Linked DNA regions of Nothobranchius furzeri. The main gene of each other region encodes a partner of the protein of the gene in region 3 in a complex. Links are inferred from orthologs where the notes say so. Each region holds a gene or a part of one and is shown on either strand. Other genes may lie near its edges.

Region 1 (5,454 bases), about 22 Mb from region 3:
AGAATTTACCAATGGATGGCCATTAGGGTCAAACATCCCTGGAGCCCAACCTCCAGCTAAATGACACACACGCCAGACTCCCTTTCATCACTGGCAACGACTGAAGAAGTAAATGTGTAAAACGTTTATGAATGGTGAAAGTTTTCTAATCGTTTGTTACAAATCAGTAAATGTATTTTTTATATTTTACTTTGTTTTCATTTTACAGCAAAACGTGTGCAGATGGGGGCATTTATTTGCATCCGTTGCAGTATAATGATCGGTTCACCAGGGACAAGGGCACGCCACTGGGCAGCCGTGGTCAAATGAGGTAAGTCTGTTCTATTTAATGATTTTCTTTCAACAAGGAAGGACAGTGTCCTCGTAAGCAAAGCGCCTTGACATTGAGAAATACCTTAAATAGACCCACTCCCATTTATTTTAGACTTGATTTTTATGCTTATATGTTACATCCTGGCCATGGAACTATGGACCAGCTCTTTATCCTTGCTAGGGTGATGGAGGGGTCATGGAAGTTTGTCCAACCAATCCACATGTGTTTTGTGGATTTGGAAAAGGCTCATGACCGTGTCCCCAGAGGCCCCCTGTGGGGGGGCACTAAGGAGTGAGGGGTGGATGGTCTTTTGTTATGGGCCATTCAGTCCCTGTACCAGAGGAGTGTGAGTTTGGTCCGCATAGCCGGCAGTAAGTGGGACCTGTTCCCAGTGAGGGTTTGACTTCGCTAGGGCTGCCCTTTGTCACCAGTCCTGTTCACAATCTTTATAGACAGGATTTCTGGGTGCAGCCGTGGTGCAGAGGGTGTCGAGTTTGGTGGCAGGAGAATCTCATCAATCCTTTTTGCGGATGATGTGGTCCTCCTAGCTTCATCATGCTCCGACTTTCAGCTCTCGCTGGGGAAGTTCACAGCCAAGTGTGAAGCGGCTGGGATGAGGATCAGCACCTCCAAGTCTGAGACCATGGTTCTCAATCGGAAAAGGGTGGTTTGCCAACTCCCGGTCGGGAGAGAGGTCCTCCGTCAAATGGAGGAGTTTGAGTATCTCGGGGTCTGGTTCACGAGTGAGGGAAGGAGCGAGCGGGAGATCGACAGGCGGATTGGGGCAGCATCTGCAGTGATACGGGCGCTAAACTGATCTGTCGTGGTGAAGAGGGAACTGAGCTAGAAAGCAAGGATCTCAATTTACTAGTTGATCTACGTCCCAATCCTCACCTATGATCATGAGCTTTGGGTGATGATCGAAAGAACAAGATCGCGGGTACAAGCAGCCAAAATGAGTTTTCTTCGCTGGGTGGCCAGGTTCAGCCTTAGAGATAGAGTGAGGGACTCGGACATCCAGGAGGGACTCGGAGTACAGCCAATGCTCCTCCGCATCGAAAGGAGCCAGTTTAGGTGGTTTGAGCATCTGGTCAGGATGCCTCCTGGACGCCTCTCTCAGGAGGTGTTTTGGGCATGCCCTGCTGGCAGGAGGCCCCCGGGTTGACCCAGGACTACCTGGAGGAAATGCATCTCTAGGTTGGCCAGGGAATGTCTGGGTGTCCCAGCTGAGGAGCTGGCAGACGTGGCTGGGGAGAGGATTAGCCTGGGAGGCCGTACTTGGGATGCTGCCCCCGCGACCCAGATAAGTGGAGGGGGGGAAGGTGAGTATGTTTAAATTGGGCATCAATAAATTCATTTTCAACAACATTTTGATGGATATTTCCAGAGACTAATGGTAAAAACTACACATTGTCATTTTAAATGAGGTAATGTTATAATTAGCAGCCATTAAAACCACCAGAATGGAAGGTTTTGTTATATTTTCAGTCTCAGAAATTCTCTTAAATAACACAAAATCTTCACAAGTCTCCCACATGTCTGACCTGAAAACATTCATTAAAACTGGGCTGTGATGGGATGTAACATATTGCTGCTTTACAGCATTTTGCTGTCCTCTACTGGGTAAAACAACTCCTGCAACACAGGAAGCAATGCTGTGCAGTGATGAGGAAGAACAGGAATGATCAGATCAGAGACATGTTTGGTGACTCATTTTTGTAAAACTACAAGTTCTGCAAAATGCTATGACAAAACACCAAAGGAAAACATGTTCTGATGAAGTGCTTGGTCCCACTCTCACACAGCATGACCTACATTTTCTATAGAAACGTTATTCCTCCCACTAAGGTTTACCATCCGTGTGTCGCTGGCAGCAACTAGCATTGAACAAAGAGGAGCGCTTACCTGCCGCTTGATGAAGCTGGATGTGGTGTCAGATGATGTGCTGCCGTCAGAGCGTTTGAAGCGGCTTTTACGTTTAGGCAACTTCCTGGGCAGCTGTGTGGAAAAGACATGCAGATGTTGAAAGGAAAAAGTCAAAGAAGAGGACGTTCTGTTCTGCTCACAAGTCTGACCTGAAAACGTTAATTAAAAACTGGGCTGTGGTGGGATTTACTGCTTTAGCATCTGTGCAATTGCTGCAGCTCCTAATTGTTTTATTTGTGAGTAGCGTTTGTAATTTTAACCAGCTGAAATAGACCTGAGCGTATGGGCACTGTTTTACCCCAAAGTCTTGTAAATGTCAAGTTTACCTAAAATAGAGCAGACCTCCCTTTTGAATACGTTAAATAACCAATATGGAACTCCACTACATCTATGCAGCCAAATCCATATTCATTTCATTTATTCAGGAAATCTTTTGAGATCATAATCTCTTTTTCAAAGGTGACTGGTGCAAGCTGGCACCCCAATAAAAGTTAAAAGCTCAGATTTCTAAATTTACCAGAATTAATAAAAGAAGTTCGGTTTTAGTCCTTAGTTATACACAGTAGAGTCTAAAAAGAGCATTGCACTCCTCCAATTTCCTGTCTAATAGCAAAAATACTAACAAATTATATATATATAACAACTGACACTCTCTGGAACAAGTACTTCTTGTAATCGGTCTATAAAAAGATAGATTTGCACAAATAACACACATCTGAGCTCTGCAGCATGGTTTGAGCTACACAGAAGCACCTCGCTGATTCCAGGCCCCAACAGGTGAGCCGCAACCACAGACATAAGGCTACAGCAGGTTTGTCGTTTTAACACCGAGGGAAAAAGCCGTCCGTCCGTCCGTGCTGCTGCCTGCTTCTCTGCGTTGATGTAGACGAGACGAGGCAGGAAATCATGCTGAAATAAATAATAAAGCATCACTGCCACAGGCCCGATCTGAGAGTCGGGACCGAATGGGCAGATTTGGGGAGATCTGCGGAGGTGTCAGCCTGTTTCTCTGCGGGTGTGACATGTTGGAGCCTGCCGTGCGGGCTCACAAGCTGCGGTTTCACTGAGGTTACAAAGGGGGGAGAGGAGAAGTACGTGTCCCCCACAACAAGTAGCGTTAGAGATGTCAGCTAGTCGTTTCTAAAGACTTCAGCCGGTCGGGGAAGCGTTGGGAGAAAAGTGAGCGGATTTACCTGAAAGTAATGCGACTGGGAGCCCGTTTCCACAGCAGACAAAGGGTCTACGGAAGATTTGGACATTTTGACTTGCATCATCTATCGACAGCGCAGGGAGGCGGCGGGAGGAACACGGACATGCGTTCCTGGAAGGAGCGAGAACGGGAAACAAGCACATAAATGCATGCAGTCCAACTGAAAACAGGTGTGGGGGAGCGGGAATAATATCCAGAGCGAGTAGAGTAAAGACGAGAGAACGGTTTCGGATAAAAAGGAGGAAATGAATCGTGAGAGGAGGACCCACGGGTGGCTGGAGCTAGATAATGTTCACACACCGAATAGTGTATCCCACTGCCTCCTGCATGCTGATGGCTCCTGCTTAGCACACAAGCACAGAGCAGTAAAATAGAAGGAATGAGTTCACGACTTACGTAGTTTGTATAATTTGACTTGCGTAGTTTGAATAATTGAAGGCGTTTCTGTTATTTAATTATAACTATGCTGTCAACGCTGATTAAAAGCAGTAGTCATTTTAAGTGTGATGTTTTATTTTGAAAATTATGACAGGAAGTACTGATGAGTTATGTCTTATTTAACTTAATGAATGTTTGTAGTAACCGCTTATGTCCACCAGATGGCAGAAAAATCCCTACCGTCGAAAGTTAAGGGACTGATTTCCTGTTTCCATCCAGTTAAAAATATAAATGTCATACTGACAGAGTGTGGCTATAAATGAAATAAAAAGTACATATTACAAGTGATTAAATTAAATGTTCACTTAGACATAAAACATATGAACCAGAACCACATTTCTACTCTGATTCTGGTTGTTATAATTGCATTTGGTTTTCTTTTACTTATTTCACCGTCATTGTGAAATCCAAAAATATGAATGTTTTTTTCCTGTTTACAACAAAAATATTTACTTATTTAAATCTCTCTCTCTCTCTCTCTCTCTCTCTCTCTCTCTCTCTCTCTCTCTCTCTCTCTCTCTCCCTCTGTGTGTGTGCTTATTGAAGCTGGGTAATTATTTGTCTTGAAATAATAAATGATGAATGAAATATTCTGATTATACGTTTCAATTTTGAACATTTGCCCACCTAAAGATAAGGATAAAAAACAACAAAATAAAATTGAAAAATACACATAATAATAATAATAATAATAATAATAATAATAATAACAATAACAATAATATAATATTAATAATAATAGGAAGAAGAAGAAGGAGAAGAAGAAGAAGAAGAATGCCTAGAAAATCCTGAAGAAATTTTAAAAAGGGACCTGCCACAAGATAGTGTATAAGTTAAACATAACTCTTGAGAGGCCCTGCCATGTTATTAATTAATAATGTGCGTAATTTATATTTATGCTAATTTTAAGCAAATGGAGAGGAAGAATAATAATAAAGAGAACAAATCCTCCATAAGGGCCCCTGCTTGCAGCAGCTACCAACAACAACAACAATAATGATAATAATAATAATGATAATGTTAATCCTTCTTATCATGGTGGAGGAGTTTGAGTGTCCTAATGATCCTAGGAGCTTTGTTGTTTGGTAGGGTCTCCCATGGCAAACTGGTCCTAGGGCAAGGGTGAGACGAAAAGTGGTTCTGAAGACCTTTCATGAACACTACATCAGAGAGTTTGAGTACCCGACTCGGAGGGTTACCGGGGTCCCACCCTGGAGCCAGGATTGGGGTTGGGGCCCATGGGCGAGTTCCTGGTGGTCGGGCTTTTGGCCATGGGGACCGGCCGGGCCAGCCCGAACTGCAAACATGGGCTCATCCAACTGTGGACCCATCACCTGCAGGAGGCACATGAAGTGTCTGGTGCATAGTAGATAGGGTGGCAGACCCAGGCAGGAGATTTGGCGGTCTGATCCCCAGACAAGAAAACTGGCTATTGGGACATGGAATGTGACCTCTCTGGCGGGAAAGGAGCTGGAGCTTGTGGATGAGGTTGAGCAGTACCGGCTAGATATAATTGGACTCACCTTGACACATAGCTATCTGCTCTGAAACCCGAGTCCTTGAGAGG
Region 2 (5,319 bases), on a different chromosome or scaffold from region 3:
AATGTTCTTTATTCTGATAGGATGTAGGAGTAATTTACCAAACATCAATCTCATGGTTATTTCAGTAGTTAAGGGTTTCATAATCAATGTTAAATAATTCTGGTATCGCCTGGTCATAGTAATTATGTGGGTGGTCTACTTTGCCATAAAATGAGATGCCTAATATACAAGAACTCATCCAGCATTTGTTGTCAATAGCAACTGTAAAGTAGAAATACATGTTGGTATTTTATTCCAGCCCAAAGCCCCAGGACGTGTTAAACATGAATACAAAACAAAGGCTGGTCATGTCAATCATTGTTATAATGGAGCCAGACATAAACAAATACACACATTTAATGCTAAATGCACATATTGCAAATACTCATTACAAAGCTCAAACAGTCTGTGAAAACTATGATTTTTTTGCTACGAACACATCGTTTGGCCAAATTAATCTGTTGAATTAGCTGTTTGTTATTCAAAATATAAATTTTAATGAAGGTAATCAAAATCAGACAAGAAAATAAAAATGCATTACATGGAGAAGTGTATAAAATAATATCTGTCGAAGTGACAGTGTGCGTTTTTCCTGGTGATAGGGGGCTGTAGATACCTAAATCGTTGCAAACAAGCAGTATTTTTGTGTTGGAGTAAGACCTCACCAACGGATGCCCATTACCCCGGCTTTCCACGGGAGCCGTCAGCAGCACGTTACTGCAGCAGCACGTCATAGCTGCTGATAGGAACCGCTGTGGTCAACAGAACCTTTTCCACTGGAGCCGTCGGCAGCCGTCAGCAGCGCGAGTCGGCCGCGTCTCAGGAGCAGCATGTCGCGGCCTTTACGCGCCGGTTCTATTTTCTACGCGCGACGCCTCTGAAACGGGTCAAGTTCGACATTTTTGGGGAAGGAAAGACAGGAAATCGGACGCGGAAATGGAGAGAAGCTACAGAGATTTTCAGAATAAAGAACGTACTGCCTTCCGGTTGCTTTACTTTTAAAAAAGGTTACTAACTGTGCGTCCCCGTGAGAAGTTATCACCTAGCTAGCGGTCTCCTTTGTTTTTCAGGTCCGTATTGGCGATTATAAAACGGACAGAACATAAAACACAAACCATGTTGTAGTTTTCTCCTGCTTGTTGTTGTGTTTACTGATGAAGTCACTCGTGTGACTTCGTGCTCTGTAGGTGACAGCTGCTCCCCTGCTGCTTCGCGCCTCGTGGGAAGGGCCAAGCACCAGCTTACGCGAGCAAGACGTGCTGCTGCAGTAACGTGCTGCTGACGGCTCCCGTGGAAACCCGGGGTTAGGGTCAAAAAGCCCTGGGGAGTGCAAATTTTCGCAAAATAACAAGTGCATCAGACTCCCTTTCATCACTGAAAACAACATTTAAGAAGGACAAACGTTTTGTAACCGTTTGTTACAAATCAGTAAATGCATTTTGTCCTCATGGGCTCCTGTAGAAGGAAGCATGGCATCTAATATGGTGTCGCCCAGAGACATAGACCCACTCCCAAGTATTTTTATGGTTATATGTTACAAAGCCGTCAATATTTTTCAACAACTGGGCATCATTTCATTCATTTTCAACAACAATTTGATGGATATTTCCAGAAATGAATGGTAAAAACACATTGTCTCTTTAAAGTTATCCCCCAATGAGTCACAACACACCCCTGATGAAACAGAAACATTGACCTAACTCACGTGCTAAAATGCCTAGAAAACGCTAAATATAGGGATGGTCCGATCTGATCACGTGATCGGAAATTGGGCCAGATCATGAGATTTTAAGAAGTTTAGAATTGGGTGAAAAAGATCAGATTATATCTTATAAAACAACAAATATAACTTTCTAATTTCATCCTGAAACAAGAGATATTCAAACGGAACAAAAATGGTTTGGTTTAAATTTTTATTTCATGATGTTAACATGTTTTTAATCAATTAACTTCCTAAACAAGTGAAAGTGAAATGTAAAGGACAACTTTTTCTTTCTTTATTTTATTTTAATGCTTTTCTGAAAAGTATTGGATCAGGACTCAGTATCAGCAGACGCTCTAAATCAAATTTCTTGGAATCGGAGTAAAAAAACTTGATTGAGATCTCTCTACCTAAATCCTTATTTGTTGTTGCTCTATAAAACATTGTCCAACTGTTGCAGAATTTCATTTAAATGTAATTTCATGTTCACTAATAACATCTGGGCAGCAGTAGCTCTGTAGGTTGAGCGAGTTGCCCAGTAATCAGAAGGTTGTTCAATCCCAGTTTCCACCAGAGAATGCTGCTGTTGTGTCCTTGGGCAAGACACTTTACCCGACTTGTTGGCTGGTGGTGGTCAGAGGGACCGGTGGCGCCAATGCTCGGCAGCACCAGGGCAGCAGTGGCTACATTGTAGCTGACCAGTGTGTGGATGGGTGAATGACTGATTGTGTTGTGAAGCGCCTTGGGGGGTTGTAGAACCCTAGGAAGGCGCTATAATAAATACTCTAAATCACCTTTATTTAAATGTCTGACTTTAACTTTAAAGTTAAGATTTTACAGTTAGTGAAATTCAGAGTAAAAATGTGCTTTCTTTAACTGATGTTTTTAGTGACATTTTTGCATTAAAAAAGGTGAAAAACATTTAGATATCGGCCCATAAAAACCGGCAGCACACATGACCATCGGCCGACCATGTCTCCTACAAATTGGGATCAGCAATGGGAAAACTATCAGTCGGACTCTAATTTCAGGCGTTAAACTCATAATTCTGCTCTTAAAAATCAGAATTTGGGCATCAAAGTTATAACTCTGATATCAAAAGTCAGAATTCTTATAACGCTTAAATTCGGAGGTCAAAGTTCTGGGATTAAAAGTCATAATAGTTGTTTTTTCCCCCCTGAATTACGAGACGAATGAGTAATACTTTTTGGGACAGAATCACGGTTAATATGAACATCCGTGACTGAACCAAACTGAGACGAACTCACCTGTAACACCAGGTGTTCTGCGCTCTCCATGAGTCGGTCCGGAGCTGCTCCTGCTTTAGTTGTCGGACTGTTGTTGACGACCATTAGGGAACGCGAACAAACGCGTTCACCAGGACCGCTTCGCTGGAGGAAGAAGCTGAGTTCTGGCTGAAATAAAAAACAAAACTCATGGTGACGCCGTCGAGGAGAACGGAAACGGACACAAGGCGCCGCTACAACCCAGCGGGCATCGAGATGTTTGGTGTTTGTTTTCCAAATGAAAAGCCTTCAGCATCTGAAAGCCTGCTCATCAGATCAGCCCTTCCCACACGGACTGAGACCCGCTGCTCCTCTTCTCCAACTCCTCTGCCTCCTCACCTGATCAAAGGATGGGATGAGTTGCAGCGTCCAGGTGAAGGATGAACAAAAAAGGAAAAGTGCAAGTCATCCAACTGACAAGTGGAAATATAGGATAAGACTTTGTTTATTTGATAGTTTGTACTTAAGGTGGTACACCATCAATGGGAGGGGCCTGTTCAGAATAGGCATTTAAGATGAAACTCAAACATTTTGAAAATGATGCAAAACTTCATCTTTGTCAGTGATACAACCTAAAAGGTGAAACTTATATATGAGGTAGACTCATTCCATGCAAAGACAAATATTTTAAGTATTGATTTGTTATAAATTAGATTATTATGGATTACAGAACATGAAAACCCCACTTTTAAGTGTCACACTTTAATCAGCTAATATATCCAAACACCTGCAAATGGTTCCTTTAGATGGTGTCTCAGTCTAAGGTGACTTACTGACATAAATGGACTTTTGCATTTTAGTTTCACCTGTAGGGTCACTCAGGTCACCGTAGACTTCTTTTTCTCCTGTCTACAATAAATACAGCAACTGGACTCAGAAGAAAAAGAATTTGGCCCTAAAGAGTAAACTGGATCGCATAAAATCTAATAAACAAGAATGATTGCTTGAAGAACCTACCAGTGGTTAAATTAGTTGAAAAGCATAAACTTATTATTAGTGTAAACGTTTTTGTACAACTTCATCCACTTCCAAGGTGAAAGAAAAGGGAAAACAATCTAATCTTGGTGATCCTTGTTGCTTTCATCAGTTAGAAATTATGTTTTCTCTTAAATATCACACACAACCTTTACCCATCCGACCCAGCTGCAACCATTCTCATGCACAATTTTAAAACTTTGAAGGTTCTTGTGGTTGTGTGATATTTATATTCCTCCACCTGCTCTCTTCCAGCTCACCTGACTGGACCGATGCATCCTTAGGATTCACTGATCGTGTTTCTGCTGCTACTGAATTAACAGGTTACAAATGTGACCACAACACCTTGGTTATGATTCTACGTCCAGTGTTAGCGGCGCTTTCCTACCTGCTGCTGTTGCGTTTTCCCTTTAATTAGATCATGTAAATTATCGGTTCAAAGAACAATATATCTAATATTTGTTCTTGTATTTTTCTGTTTCTGCAGACAATTAATGCAATATTTTAGATTATTTCACAAATTCCTATAAGAATCAGAGCGTGAGTCTATGTTTTTAGCCTATAACCTGTGTGACCCTTTTAATTTATAACCTGTCTATACAGCTGCATCAAACCTACATCAAAGTAAGTAGAGTATGTTTGCTGTTTTTCTTGGTTTGACAAATAAAACACATGCAGAAATTGGTTTAGCTGATATTTTTTGCTGTTCGTCATTGCCCCCTGGTGGCTGTGTGTGAATTTGCATGTAACTAAAAAGGGCAGTGAGAAATCAGTCTGTTTGTATTTTAGAGTTATTCAAATGTATGCAATAAAAAAGAAAAAAACTAAATGTATATAGCAAGTGCAATACCCAGTTTAGCAGTTTTCTTCCCCACATTATCCACGTATTTCTTGTTTTATCATTTTTAAATGTTCATCTCTGACTAACACGGTTTCGTCTCAACATCTCACAGATGCTTGTGGTTGTTTTCAGCAGCTAAATTAAACCACTGCAGAAAGACCAGCAGAGAAACACATTTGCAGACTCTTTAAAAGAGCACATCTGCAATAGGAAACAATCAATAGATCTAGTGTCGTTTTGTGTGACAACGATAACAGGTGCAAAAGAATCGCCATGCATAGACATCTCTTAGATCCAACGGGAAATATTTTTATGTTTCCTGTTCTTTTCTGCTGCCTCGATGACCCCCAAAGCTGAGCTCATATTTTGACAGAGCAGTCAGCGGACACATCAACATGCCCCAGATGAAAGCCCTTCCTTCCTCCATCCTGACAGCAGCTGCCTTGAAGAGATGCACACATGTAAAAGAAAAAAAAAATGGCATTAATGCTGCCAAAGAGCAGATTTACACACAAACAAGTGTGGTCTGGTGCTTT
Region 3 (5,426 bases):
CAACAGATTTATTAGTTCAGGTCACATCAGAATAGTGGTTTAGATGAAGAGCCTGCAGAGAAAGGTGGATGAGGTGGATTATGTAATCTGGCAGAGGGGGAGCACGGTGAATATGTGCTACAATAAATCTTTCTTCAAACTGATCTCATTCAACCACACTTGGAAAAAGGAGAGATTACATCGGATGCCCTGCTACCTCAGAAAAAGTTCAACTTCAGAGCAAACTGTGGCTTTTTTGAAGTAGGAGGGTGTGTTTGGGTAGGCCTGTAGTTGATTCGCTATAATGTAAACAGTTGCCTCTCCCAAAACAAAGTCAGAAAACAACAAGCAATGGAAAATAGACTTAAATTAAATCCCACGGAGTCTGAAAAACGTCTAAATGCATGCGTTTAACAACATTACGGTATAAATATTGCAGCTAACGTGTAAGCTAACAGCTAAGCTAACAGGCTAAATCCACTTGGTACTCTGTTGTCGTGACAGCTGTCAGGAGCACTAAACACTCCCGATGCAAAACTCTAGTGTCTTAGCTACGGGTACAAGAAACGAGCGTTGCACGACATTGTTTAGCTAAAAACCTTCATGAAACTTATCCACACATTTCACTTATTAACAAATATTTGTTAGCTAACGTCAACATGTTGTGAACAATCTTTCTCTGCGTCAAGCTATGTGTTGACCACCAAGTTTAGAAGTCTTCGCTCTTTTTCGTTCGCTGGAAAATCAAGAGTTAGCTAGTTAGGACTACTAAATTAATACTAAATAAAATACGTAGAAAACGATCAACACTCTAATAACTAAAACGAATCATTACATAATCCAAATCACGAACTGGCACGGCGAGTCAGCACTCAAATGTTAGTCAACGTCTTCCAGTCGGACTTAAAAACAAAGGGGGCAATAACGCTTCATTTTACTACGCCTGGGTTCTTCTGGAGGCTAGCGTTCCCAGCTAGGCTAACTGGAGGGGCTAACTCAGTGATATTTACTTGTTCTAGAGTGTCCCACAAAGACAGAGGGATGTCCCGTTCCCGCTCCACACCTATCCAGCCGTCGCTTTGGTCTTTCTTCTGCTAATCCGCATAGCATTCAATGGTATTCCGACAAACATAACGACCCGTGTAATCCCCAATTCACAGTTACCCTCTGTTTTTTTCTTACAAATTCCGAGAAAAAAATAATGGAGTTTTGTTTTGCGCAGGCGCACTGAGCACGTAAGGAATATTGTACCCAACATGCAACGAGACATTTGTAGTGTTCCAGTCAGACGTCAATCCACAGGGGGCGCTGTTTGGTGGACAGGACATAACAGAATAATATTCCGTAAACAACTAATAAATACACAAACAAATAAATGTATTATATTTGTGTACAACGTTTTAACCTCTACATCAACAAAATACACCTTTGTAAAAAAGTATTCTGAGTTGGAGTTAATACTGGGCTGACAGCTCAAAAATATTTTGTATATAAACAGAGGAAAAACTTTATAGGATTATTTGTTACAAATGAAATAAAACAACGAATAAAGATGCTTGCTAGAGTGGTTGAGTTACATGGCAGTTATTGTTTAAAAATCAATGTTTCTTTTATGTATTTATCCAGCTTTTGCAGCATCTACTAGCATTCAGAACAACTTGAACATATATATAAATAAAATAGTTTTTACAACTTTGAAAGAGATGTAGTCATTTTTGTTGTTTCTCCTTGGTCTCCCAAAAGAATGGAGGGATACAGGCCCATGAGCAGGACAGATACCTTTGTGTGTGTGTGCGTGCGTGCGTGCGTGCGTGCGTGTGTGTGTGTGTGTGTGTGTGTGTGTGTGTGTGTGTATGTGTGTGTGTGTGTGTGTGTGTGTGTGTGTGTGTGTGTGTGTGTGTGTGTGTGTGTGTGTGTGTGTGTGTAGAGAACATATCTGATTTCTCATCGTCACTGGTGCTTAGTTTGAGGTCCTTCAGCTGTTGCAAACTGTCAACGTCACAAAGCAGTGCTCAGCCTGTCATGCTCACAATTACACCCATAGATACACAAACTTACAGCTTTAATAAATATCTGGGTCGCACTCAGCATTCACGCCCAGTGTGGGAATAACCTGAAGGAAACACAGAGGGACCATACAGTACTGGATCCAGAAGTGCTGAAAAGTGAGGGAGCATTTTGGTCAGTTGGTAAGTCAAACTCTGCTTCAATGGCCACATAACACTTCAGAAAAATCTAGCAGGTGAAGGGAAGCATTTTTTTATTTACCTTTTCTGTGTAACCTCTAATAACTTGGTAAGTGATGGTGAAGTTTATGTGTAATTTTTAATTATGTCTCAAGTAGCAAAAATGCCTAATGGAATCGTTTTGTAGGAACGTTGTGTGAATGCTACATCCATTTAGCCCGTTATTTACTCATTTTTCCTGAAATTCTTTTATGCTGTCTGGAATATTTTCCTGACATGCAGCAGTTCCTAAATTTAGTTTTCAGATCAAATTTCAAAAACCAAGAATAGAGCAGGTCAGGATGACAAATGCTCTTTACCACTGTTTGCTACAAGGTATTAGCTCCGAATGTCACACAGAGAGAGACTAAAGACATGTTTTATGTCTCTGCTTGCTTTATAGTTAATAATTTGACCAGATCCTTGTCTGAAATAGTGAATTTCAACTATAGCAACAATTTCCCTTGTCATCCAGGAACGTGTTTGGTGCTTAAAAACAAACAAGTCCTTCAAAATGTAGGCAAATCAGAAAAGAAACATGCAATCCAAAAGATGTGGCCTTGTTTTGCATTTAGGAAAAACGAGCTACTGACAAACTGCAAGTGCATCTTGAGAAAAGACAGACAGTAAAATGTACATGATTTCTTTTAAGGGTGCAGTATACTGATATTTCCAGCACTCCATGGATCAGTGAGTACAGTTCATGTCCATGTGCTGCATGTTTCTAACATCTCTGTGGGTTTCACTAAATAAAATCTGAGCTCTAAATTTACCAGTGCGACTAAAATCAGGTTTGTTTGAGGTGATGAACGGGGAATCTTGTTGAAGCACATCATGGTTCTCCTCAATGTTCCTGGTTTAAGAGTTCACTCATCAAAAAGGTGTGTGTTTGGATTTATATGTAACTGGTCTGGATCCTGGAGCCCTATCACCAGCTGGTTGATGTTTGTGCATGATGGGAAAAGGTGCGATGTAAAAAAAAATGTCCTTCAAACTTTGAGCAGTTTTCACATTAACGTTTGCTGATAAATCTCCTCACATGATCCAGATGTTCCCTCTGCGATACGTTTTTACACCACAGTCATGGCAGGTGGCTTCAGTTGGTCTTCATCTTTCTCTTTGTGCTTCTTAGAGAGGATGACAAAAACTCCGTGGACATCCACGACAATCCTCCAGCCCCTGACAATGTAGTGAGGGAGGAAGGAGACACGGTGAGTGGCAGCACCACGTCAACCACTCGCTATTAGCAGCCGTTCTCAGGCTGATTAAAATAGCCTCCAGCTGGGACGGGACTGCAATATGGTGTTTGTTTATATCTCATGAGTTAATAAATAAGTCCTGATCACCTGTATGGAACTGTTCTCTTCTTCGTCTTTGCTTGCAGGTCTATTTTATTTATGAGGAGGAGGTGGAGGTAGAGGAGAAGGAACCAGAACCTCCTTCCGAGCCCATTGTTCGGATCAATGACAAACCTCACAAGTTTAAGGACCATTACTGCAAGAAACCCAAGTTCTGTGACGTCTGCGCTCGCATGATAGTCTGTACGTGTTTAACCCAGAAAATATCACGAGACATATTTTGAGATTTATGATGATTCGGTTAACTTTGCACATCTCTTAGTGAACAACAAATTTTGTCTGAGGTGTAAAAACTGCAAGACCAACATCCACCATTCGTGTCAGTCCTATGTCGAGTTCCAGAAGTGCTTTGGAAAAATCGTGAGTTTTCTCTCTCTCACACACATTTGAATTTAAATGTCTAAAAAAGCACTACAGGACTAAATGGAAGGTTTTAGTTGAAATTTTTTCTTTTTTTTTCTTTGTCTTGTAGCCACCTGGCTTTAGAAGAGCCTATAGTTCTCCTCTGTACAGCAGCGACATCCCAGATCCAAGTGAGTCCATCAAACCTTCAATCACTCCTAGAATTAGTAATCCTTTATTTATTACTGCTAAATCAGAGTAAAATAATTAAATTTTACGGTGAATTCTTTTAAGCAGATGTGTAAAATTAGTAGGGAGGTCGGAAATATCGACATCAACATCATATCGGCTGATGTTTGTTTTTTATCTGTGTATCGGTCCAATAAGTAAAACTTGGCTGATACTTTCTTCCATCTAGTTGCTATTGTTGTATCTTGGAGAGAGATGGTCATGCAGTGAATTTTTAATCATGTCAATCAGTCAATCAATCAATCATTGAGAGCAATCTACAATTTATAATGGTTAGAAGTGCCCAATGTTGAAAAATCTTCCTTACAAAGGTGTAATTATATTTTAGGGATGTCCGTTACTAACAGCTAATGTTGGCATTTAAGGTGCATTATGTAGAAATGAAGTAAATATGACAATCTGTGGTAAAATCTGGTTGCTGCAATCACTTTAAACAACTCTGGAGCTTTTTGCCGGCCGTAGTCAAATTACAACTATCGGCGCTGCAGTATTAGCTCGCAGGAGACACAACAACCCCACACTTGTCATGTTCTGCGGGTGGTGGGTTTCAGGAGGCAGATGAGCAGGCAACGGATGAAAAAATTAAAAGATGTTTAATCGTAGACTGGGAGCAACAGGACGAACGAACATGCACAAACGACAATGAACCGACAAAGACAGCAACAAGGAGGGAGGTATAAATACACAAGGGAATCAGGAACACATGGGCAGAGTAATGAGGGACAGGTGAGAACAATAAGGCTAATCAGGGCAGGAGAGACACAGTCAGGGAGGCCGGGGCGGATCATGACAACACTCACTGGTAGTAAACACTAGTTACGTCCATCTTTCCTTTGTTTTGAAATGAGATGAACTGACAATCCTCACAGCCAGCTGGATATGAAATGTGTTTAAATATAACCTTCCTTCTAAAATGACCAACACTTTTTGGATTTTCTCACTGTAGATTTTTCACTATATTTTTACATAGTGCACCTTTAAAATGTAATATCAGAAATAATGAGTTGATTTTCACTCTTTTAATGACACAACTTTTACATGCCATGTACATATTAAACATCAAATTCTTCAGCATGGTCTAATAATAGCCATTTAATATTAGCCCATTTTTTGTATCAGTGCATCCCTAAAAATTTGAGATAAAAAAATCTAATGTTTGTAATGCCTGGACTATAGCATTTTCTACAGATTATTCATTAAATAAAGCTTTATAATTGAAAGTGCTGATATTTTCTGGCCAAAATTTTCCATCCGACACCAGACAACCCAAACC
Region 4 (5,570 bases), on a different chromosome or scaffold from region 3:
AAAGTGAAACGGATAACACAGCCGCCCCCGTACTTGCTTGTTTCCACATTCCACCCGGCCACAATAAAAACACGGCCATTATTCACCTCCGCCGACTCCGACCAAAATATGATACCCAGCAGTTAATTAAATACAGGCTAATATTAGAGGATTTACGGTATTTACTATTTGCGACGCGAAAAGATGGGCGACACAGAGCGAAGCAGGAGCTGCTTGAGCTAGAAGAACAACATGTTATGGTCTGCGTCCTGCGTCTCCCTCATGTGTCTCCTTGTCTGCATCCCTCCTCATGTGCCTCCTTGTGTTCCCCAGACCACTCCAGGTTTTTTCCCCTTAGGTGTTCCCCCCAGGTTTCAGCGTCCCGGTGTCTCCCCAACCCCCTCCAGGCTCTCTAGGTTTCCCTTACGTTTTTCCTTAGACACCTTTTATCATTAGTCTTCTGTTAAGTGTTTTATCTAGTCTGTTTTCTCCCTCTAGTTCATTTTGCGCCCTTCCCCATTTTTAGGTCTGGTTTCCTCCCCTGCTTCGTTGTGCTCTTCCTTTGTTTATTGGTCTCACCTGTGCACAATTCCCTACTCACCTAGCCCTTGATATAACCTTCAGTGTGGTTGTTGGTCCATTGTTTGTGTCAGCGTTTGCTCATCCCCTCTCTAGGTATTTTGACGTTCTCTAGGTCTCTTGTGTTTTTGGATGTTCCCAGGGTTTTGACTCTTGGTTTTTTTGGATTTTTGGTTTTTGGCTTCCAGCCCTTTGAATTTACCCCTAAATAAAGGATTTTTTACGTTTTCACTACTCCTGCCTTGTGTCATCCTGTGTCTGCATCTTGGGTCCTAACCTCCCCCAACTCACAGCGTGACACAACAACTATTATTAGAAAGAGCACAGCGAGAACGAGTCTTCAGGACTGTGTAAACACTCGTGCTGTTTACATTTTTTAAGGTAAGCTACGTCGTGCCGGAAATGACGTTGGGTTGTTTGGCTGACCAATAACAGACGCCCATGCATACAACGCCGCTGTCCGATGTTTAGAAAATAGAGCTCGACTCCAACCGACATTCCAACACGACCCAACACTGTTGGATCGCCCATACGACGCCACATCATGGCGATCCAACAGATCCGACATGCTGGAGCAATGTCAGTATGAATCAGCCTTAAGGAAGGATCTCTGATTCCTGTCAGGAAAGGGCGGAGAAAGGGTGTGGAGGCTTCCTGTTGGTAAACATCCTCTCAGATAAGTGCATAATTAAAGAGGCTGCATGATGAGGTGGTAAAACACTGACAAGGAATTTTTCTGCTTTTACAGGAGAATCCTCTGTCATTCTGCTCAGAGATTCACCTGCAATCTGATTGCGGTCAGCAGACAGGATCTTTAATCTGAGACACGCCCAGTTCTGAATTCAAGCAAGTTCTCCACCCACAAGTCATTTCTATTTCTCACATCATCTCTTTCCAGATGTTCTAGTTTTATTTTCTCTGTTTGTCGTAGTTATAAATGCATAAAAACAGTGTAACTTTTTGCACGTCAACATGAGAGCTGTGTGACTGATGGGAGGTGTCATACACACATAAAAACACTCAGAAAGCCACGCTGCCTGCACCAGGAGGTCGTCCATCTGTTTCTCACTGCTCCCTCTCAGCTGATAAAAGATCTGATTTCTAAAAGCAGACATGAAGAGGTGAGATGGCGAGAGTGAGCGGGACACTCACAGAAGATGTGGAAGAAGCTGAGGGATGAGAGGGAGCTGGGAAGAGTGGGAGTAAAGAGGAGAGAGCAGGACTTGGCATGGTTTAAAACGCTGGTTGTCTGTGATGAGCTGGTTTTTCTTCTCTAGAGACACAATGACTGATCTCAGTGTGGGTGTGTTTGTTCTAGATATTTTCATCTTAATTTAAAAAACATCACTTTAAAGAGTCATGACTAAACATGCCCACTGTTTAACAACCAAACCATCAGCGCTTCAATGAACCTTTCAACAGACCAGTGTCATTAAAGCATGGCAAATAAAAATAGAAAAAACAGGATGATTTGGTGTATACTTTAATGGGCAAACTGGGCTATAATATATACATACATACATACATACATATATATATATATATATATATATATATATATATATATATATATATATATATATATATATACGTGTGTATATATACATATACATATATATATATATATATATATATATATATATATATGTATATATATATATATACATACATATATATACATATATATATATATATATACATATACATATATATACATATATATACATATATATATGTATATATACACACGTATATATATATATATATATATATATATGGTAAATGGTAAATGGCCTGTATTTGATATAGCGCCTTCTAGAGTCCTGGAACCCCCCAAGGCGCTTTCCAACGCAATCAGTCATTCACCCATTCACACACACATTCACACACTGGTGGGGATGAGCTACAATGTAGCCACAGCTGCCCTGGGGCGCACTGACAGAGGCGAGGCTGCCGAGCACTGGCGCCACCGGTCTCTCCGACCACCACCAGCAGGCAAGGTGGGTTAAGTGTCTTGCCCAAGGACACAATGACAGCGACAGACTGAGCGGGGCTCAAACCTGCAACCTTCCGATTGCGGGGCGAGCACTTAACTCCTGTGCCACCGTCGCCCACATATACACATATATATATGTGTGTATATATATATATATATATATATATATATATATATATATATATATATATATATATATATATATATGTATATATACATAACATATATATACATATATACATATATATATACATATGTGTGTGTATATATATATATATATATATATATATATATATATATCCAAATTAGTTTTAATATAAATTTTGCCCACTTTTTCAGCAGTTTTACTTTCTCAGTTAAGTGTTTCTTTTACTATCTTCATCATTATTATTATTACTCACATTTTTATTAATACACCTCCTGTTTATTATTTATTTTGGCTAGTTAAGTTTAGTGCATGCTTCAGTAAAACATACAGACAAGAATCCTCATTAATTATCTTTAAACAGTTGCAGATTACAGTAATTCCCTAAATGCTTACCATGCCGATCAGATGTGTAGCCTAAAGGATTTTAATCATTTACTCAGATCAACAACTCGTTGGACGTCTACGTGGTACATTCCGGTTAATTTGTGTTAGACAACAGGCGTTTCATTTGTGCTTAAAGCGCCAACAGACTTGCTGTTTCCTACGTACAAAATGATCGACTATAAAACAACAAACCCCATTTCTCTATTAGAAAATAAAAGCGCAGCTGTAACGCGCGCGCACAAGCAGCAGACCGAAGAACAACCTGTTAATCTCCGGAATGGAGCATCATCAACGTGTAAACAGTGAAAAGAGGCGATAGGTGACATGTCTCTGTGGTTCTTACCTGTGGATGGTGGTCGATCATGCCCATGGGGATCTCCTGGTTGGGGGTCGAAGGCGTCCTGGACATACTATTACTTTTCTGTACCATTTGATTTCAGTTTCGAGGAATCTCTTTCAGTCTTGTTAATTTATGACGGTGCTGATAGTCGCATCTTTTTTATTTTACTTACTTTATCTTTTTATTTCTCGTCTAGGGAAGGAGGAAAAGCCGCTGATGTTTCTGAGCTGGTTGGTTAAATAATGGCAACAGCTGCCTTCCTCCAGCCTTCAGCTACTGTCACCAAGTACCGACAGGCTGGGAGGGCTCCGCACCGACGCAAGAGCGTTTCCGGTTACAGAATAAGAGTTTTTAATATAATAATAATAATAATAATAATAATAATAATTATTATTATTATTATTATTATTATTATTATTATTATTATTATTATTATTATTATTATTATTATTATTATTATTACAATGATGAAAATTCTACACCAAAATTCAAACCACAGTGTTCCCAGTTGCCCTGCATGTTTTTTTTGTTTGTTTTTTGCCATGTTTATCAATCTTTAATACGTGGAAATCGAATAAAACTTATTACACAGCATCATGGACAGAATTACAATGAGGGTGAATGAATGTTAATAACGAGCTACCCAAAGAGACATTTGAGACTGAAAATCCAGATCCAAACAAGCACCTTGAGAAGCAGAGTGTGCTTTTATTTTGAAGGCAACATCCTCCAACTACTGCCGTGCTTGTGTTTTTCATCCCTCTTGACGCCCTCTCTGTTCCTGTGTGCGCTCATCAGCCTCCAGCTGGAAGCCGAGGTCCACGCCCCAGTGAAGAGACCCCACCTTTACGGTGATGAGTGATGAGACCGCAGCAGAGCTCCATGACAGGCTGGAGGTGTTCAGACCTCCCCAGAGTCCCGCGGGGCTGCCTGTAAAACAGAAGGAACCATCTCAGCCTGTCCTTAGTTTTCTCCTGGATCAGAGTCTGAAGAGGCTGAGTGAGACTACCCAGAGACCCTGCTCCATTTGTGACCTAAGGTTGACCCCAGAGTAGGAGTGTTGACGTCACACCAGAGACAAACACGTGTAAAGATTCATTTCAGCTTTACCTTTCATGAATTTTGTGTTTTCCCATTTTTAATTTTTAAAAATGATTCAGTTTGAGAACAATAATTGCGTAAAATATTTTAAGGTAACAGAATTCATGCTGAACTTTAATTTAGTTTCCTTTCACATTAAACTGAGCAGAACTGTACTAATCTGTATATTCACTTTTCCTAATAATAGCTAGAATATATATATATATATATATATATATATATATATATATATATATATATATATATATATATATATATGTATATATACATACATACATAAGCATAAAAGGCATTTCCTGCCGTTTGGCCACAAAGAACAGTCATAAATAATGGTGGAGCCGTCAGAGCCGGATTAACGCAAAGGCAAAGTAGGCACGTGCCTAGGGCCTGATTGGCTGGATGGGGCCCAGACAGAGGGACAAAATTAAAAATAAATAAATCAAAAATAAAATGTACAAATGTCCTATGATAGAATTTGTAGATAGGACTCATATCTACAGTTTATTTCAATATTTTTTAATTAACTAAAAATAGTGACAATGTTTATCTTGAACATAGACCGTTACATTAGCTACGTCACATTAACGCCAGCCCATGACTGTAGCTTACAACTTGGGCGCCACCTAATTAAGGGCGTCGGTGAAGCGGTCAGAGTCAGAGCGGGACACAACAAAGCTAGCAGGAGTTTTTGAGTAGGCTAACTTTCACGATGCTTTCAGGTGCGTCAAAATGTAAAAAGAAAAAAAATGAAGAGGAACAAAAGACGAGACAGCGGGGAGCTTTACAGAAGTTTCTGTCGAGCTGCTCGGGCAGCCGGCCGACAGCTGTGAACCTGCGATAGGTCAGCAGAGCCAAAGGCCGGGCCCGAGCCAGACCCGGAGGAGACACGACCCGAAGATGTGGCGGGAAATGCGGCGTAAGACGCTGTTGCGCTAACGCCGTCACAGAAGGACGAACTGGAAGAACAGCAGCCAGCCAGAAGTGAGCCCAATGTAGTTTTGCAGCAGGAGCCTCTAGACCCAGAAAGGGTGTTAACAAGCTTC

The links. The genes of interacting proteins can lie anywhere in the genome.
Region 1: stac3 (region 3) and cacnb3a share a complex: the UniProt entries of both Homo sapiens proteins name them as parts of the calcium channel complex. The link is inferred for Nothobranchius furzeri from reciprocal best matches to the Homo sapiens genes STAC3 and CACNB3.
Region 2: stac3 (region 3) and cacnb2a share a complex: the UniProt entries of both Homo sapiens proteins name them as parts of the calcium channel complex. The link is inferred for Nothobranchius furzeri from reciprocal best matches to the Homo sapiens genes STAC3 and CACNB2.
Region 4: stac3 (region 3) and cacnb1 share a complex: the UniProt entries of both Homo sapiens proteins name them as parts of the calcium channel complex. The link is inferred for Nothobranchius furzeri from reciprocal best matches to the Homo sapiens genes STAC3 and CACNB1.

What each region holds. Positions count from the first base shown.
Region 1 is NC_091755.1:54,936,063-54,941,516, forward strand, and holds the start of cacnb3a (voltage-dependent L-type calcium channel subunit beta-3a), read right to left. Parts: upstream 3,653-5,454; 5' UTR 3,514-3,652; coding exon 3,433-3,513; intron 2,312-3,432; coding exon 2,219-2,311; intron 1-2,218. UniProt on the Homo sapiens protein: Regulatory subunit of the voltage-gated calcium channel that gives rise to L-type calcium currents. Increases CACNA1B peak calcium current and shifts the voltage dependencies of channel activation and inactivation.
Region 2 is NC_091747.1:46,810,645-46,815,963, reverse strand, and holds the start of cacnb2a (voltage-dependent L-type calcium channel subunit beta-2a), read right to left. Parts: upstream 3,653-5,319; 5' UTR 3,034-3,652; coding exon 2,950-3,033; intron 1-2,949. UniProt on the Homo sapiens protein: Beta subunit of voltage-dependent calcium channels which contributes to the function of the calcium channel by increasing peak calcium current. Plays a role in shifting voltage dependencies of activation and inactivation of the channel.
Region 3 is NC_091755.1:32,734,140-32,739,565, forward strand, and holds the start of stac3 (SH3 and cysteine-rich domain-containing protein 3), read left to right. Parts: upstream 1-1,969; 5' UTR 1,970-2,168; intron 2,169-2,856; 5' UTR 2,857-2,886; coding exon 2,887-2,894; intron 2,895-3,336; coding exon 3,337-3,415; intron 3,416-3,588; coding exon 3,589-3,745; intron 3,746-3,824; coding exon 3,825-3,922; intron 3,923-4,034; coding exon 4,035-4,095; intron 4,096-5,414; coding exon 5,415-5,426. UniProt on the Homo sapiens protein: Required for normal excitation-contraction coupling in skeletal muscle and for normal muscle contraction in response to membrane depolarization. Required for normal Ca(2+) release from the sarcplasmic reticulum, which ultimately leads to muscle contraction.
Region 4 is NC_091745.1:12,110,950-12,116,519, forward strand, and holds the start of cacnb1 (voltage-dependent L-type calcium channel subunit beta-1), read right to left. Parts: upstream 3,653-5,570; 5' UTR 3,517-3,652; coding exon 3,430-3,516; intron 1-3,429. UniProt on the Homo sapiens protein: Regulatory subunit of L-type calcium channels. Regulates the activity of L-type calcium channels that contain CACNA1A as pore-forming subunit.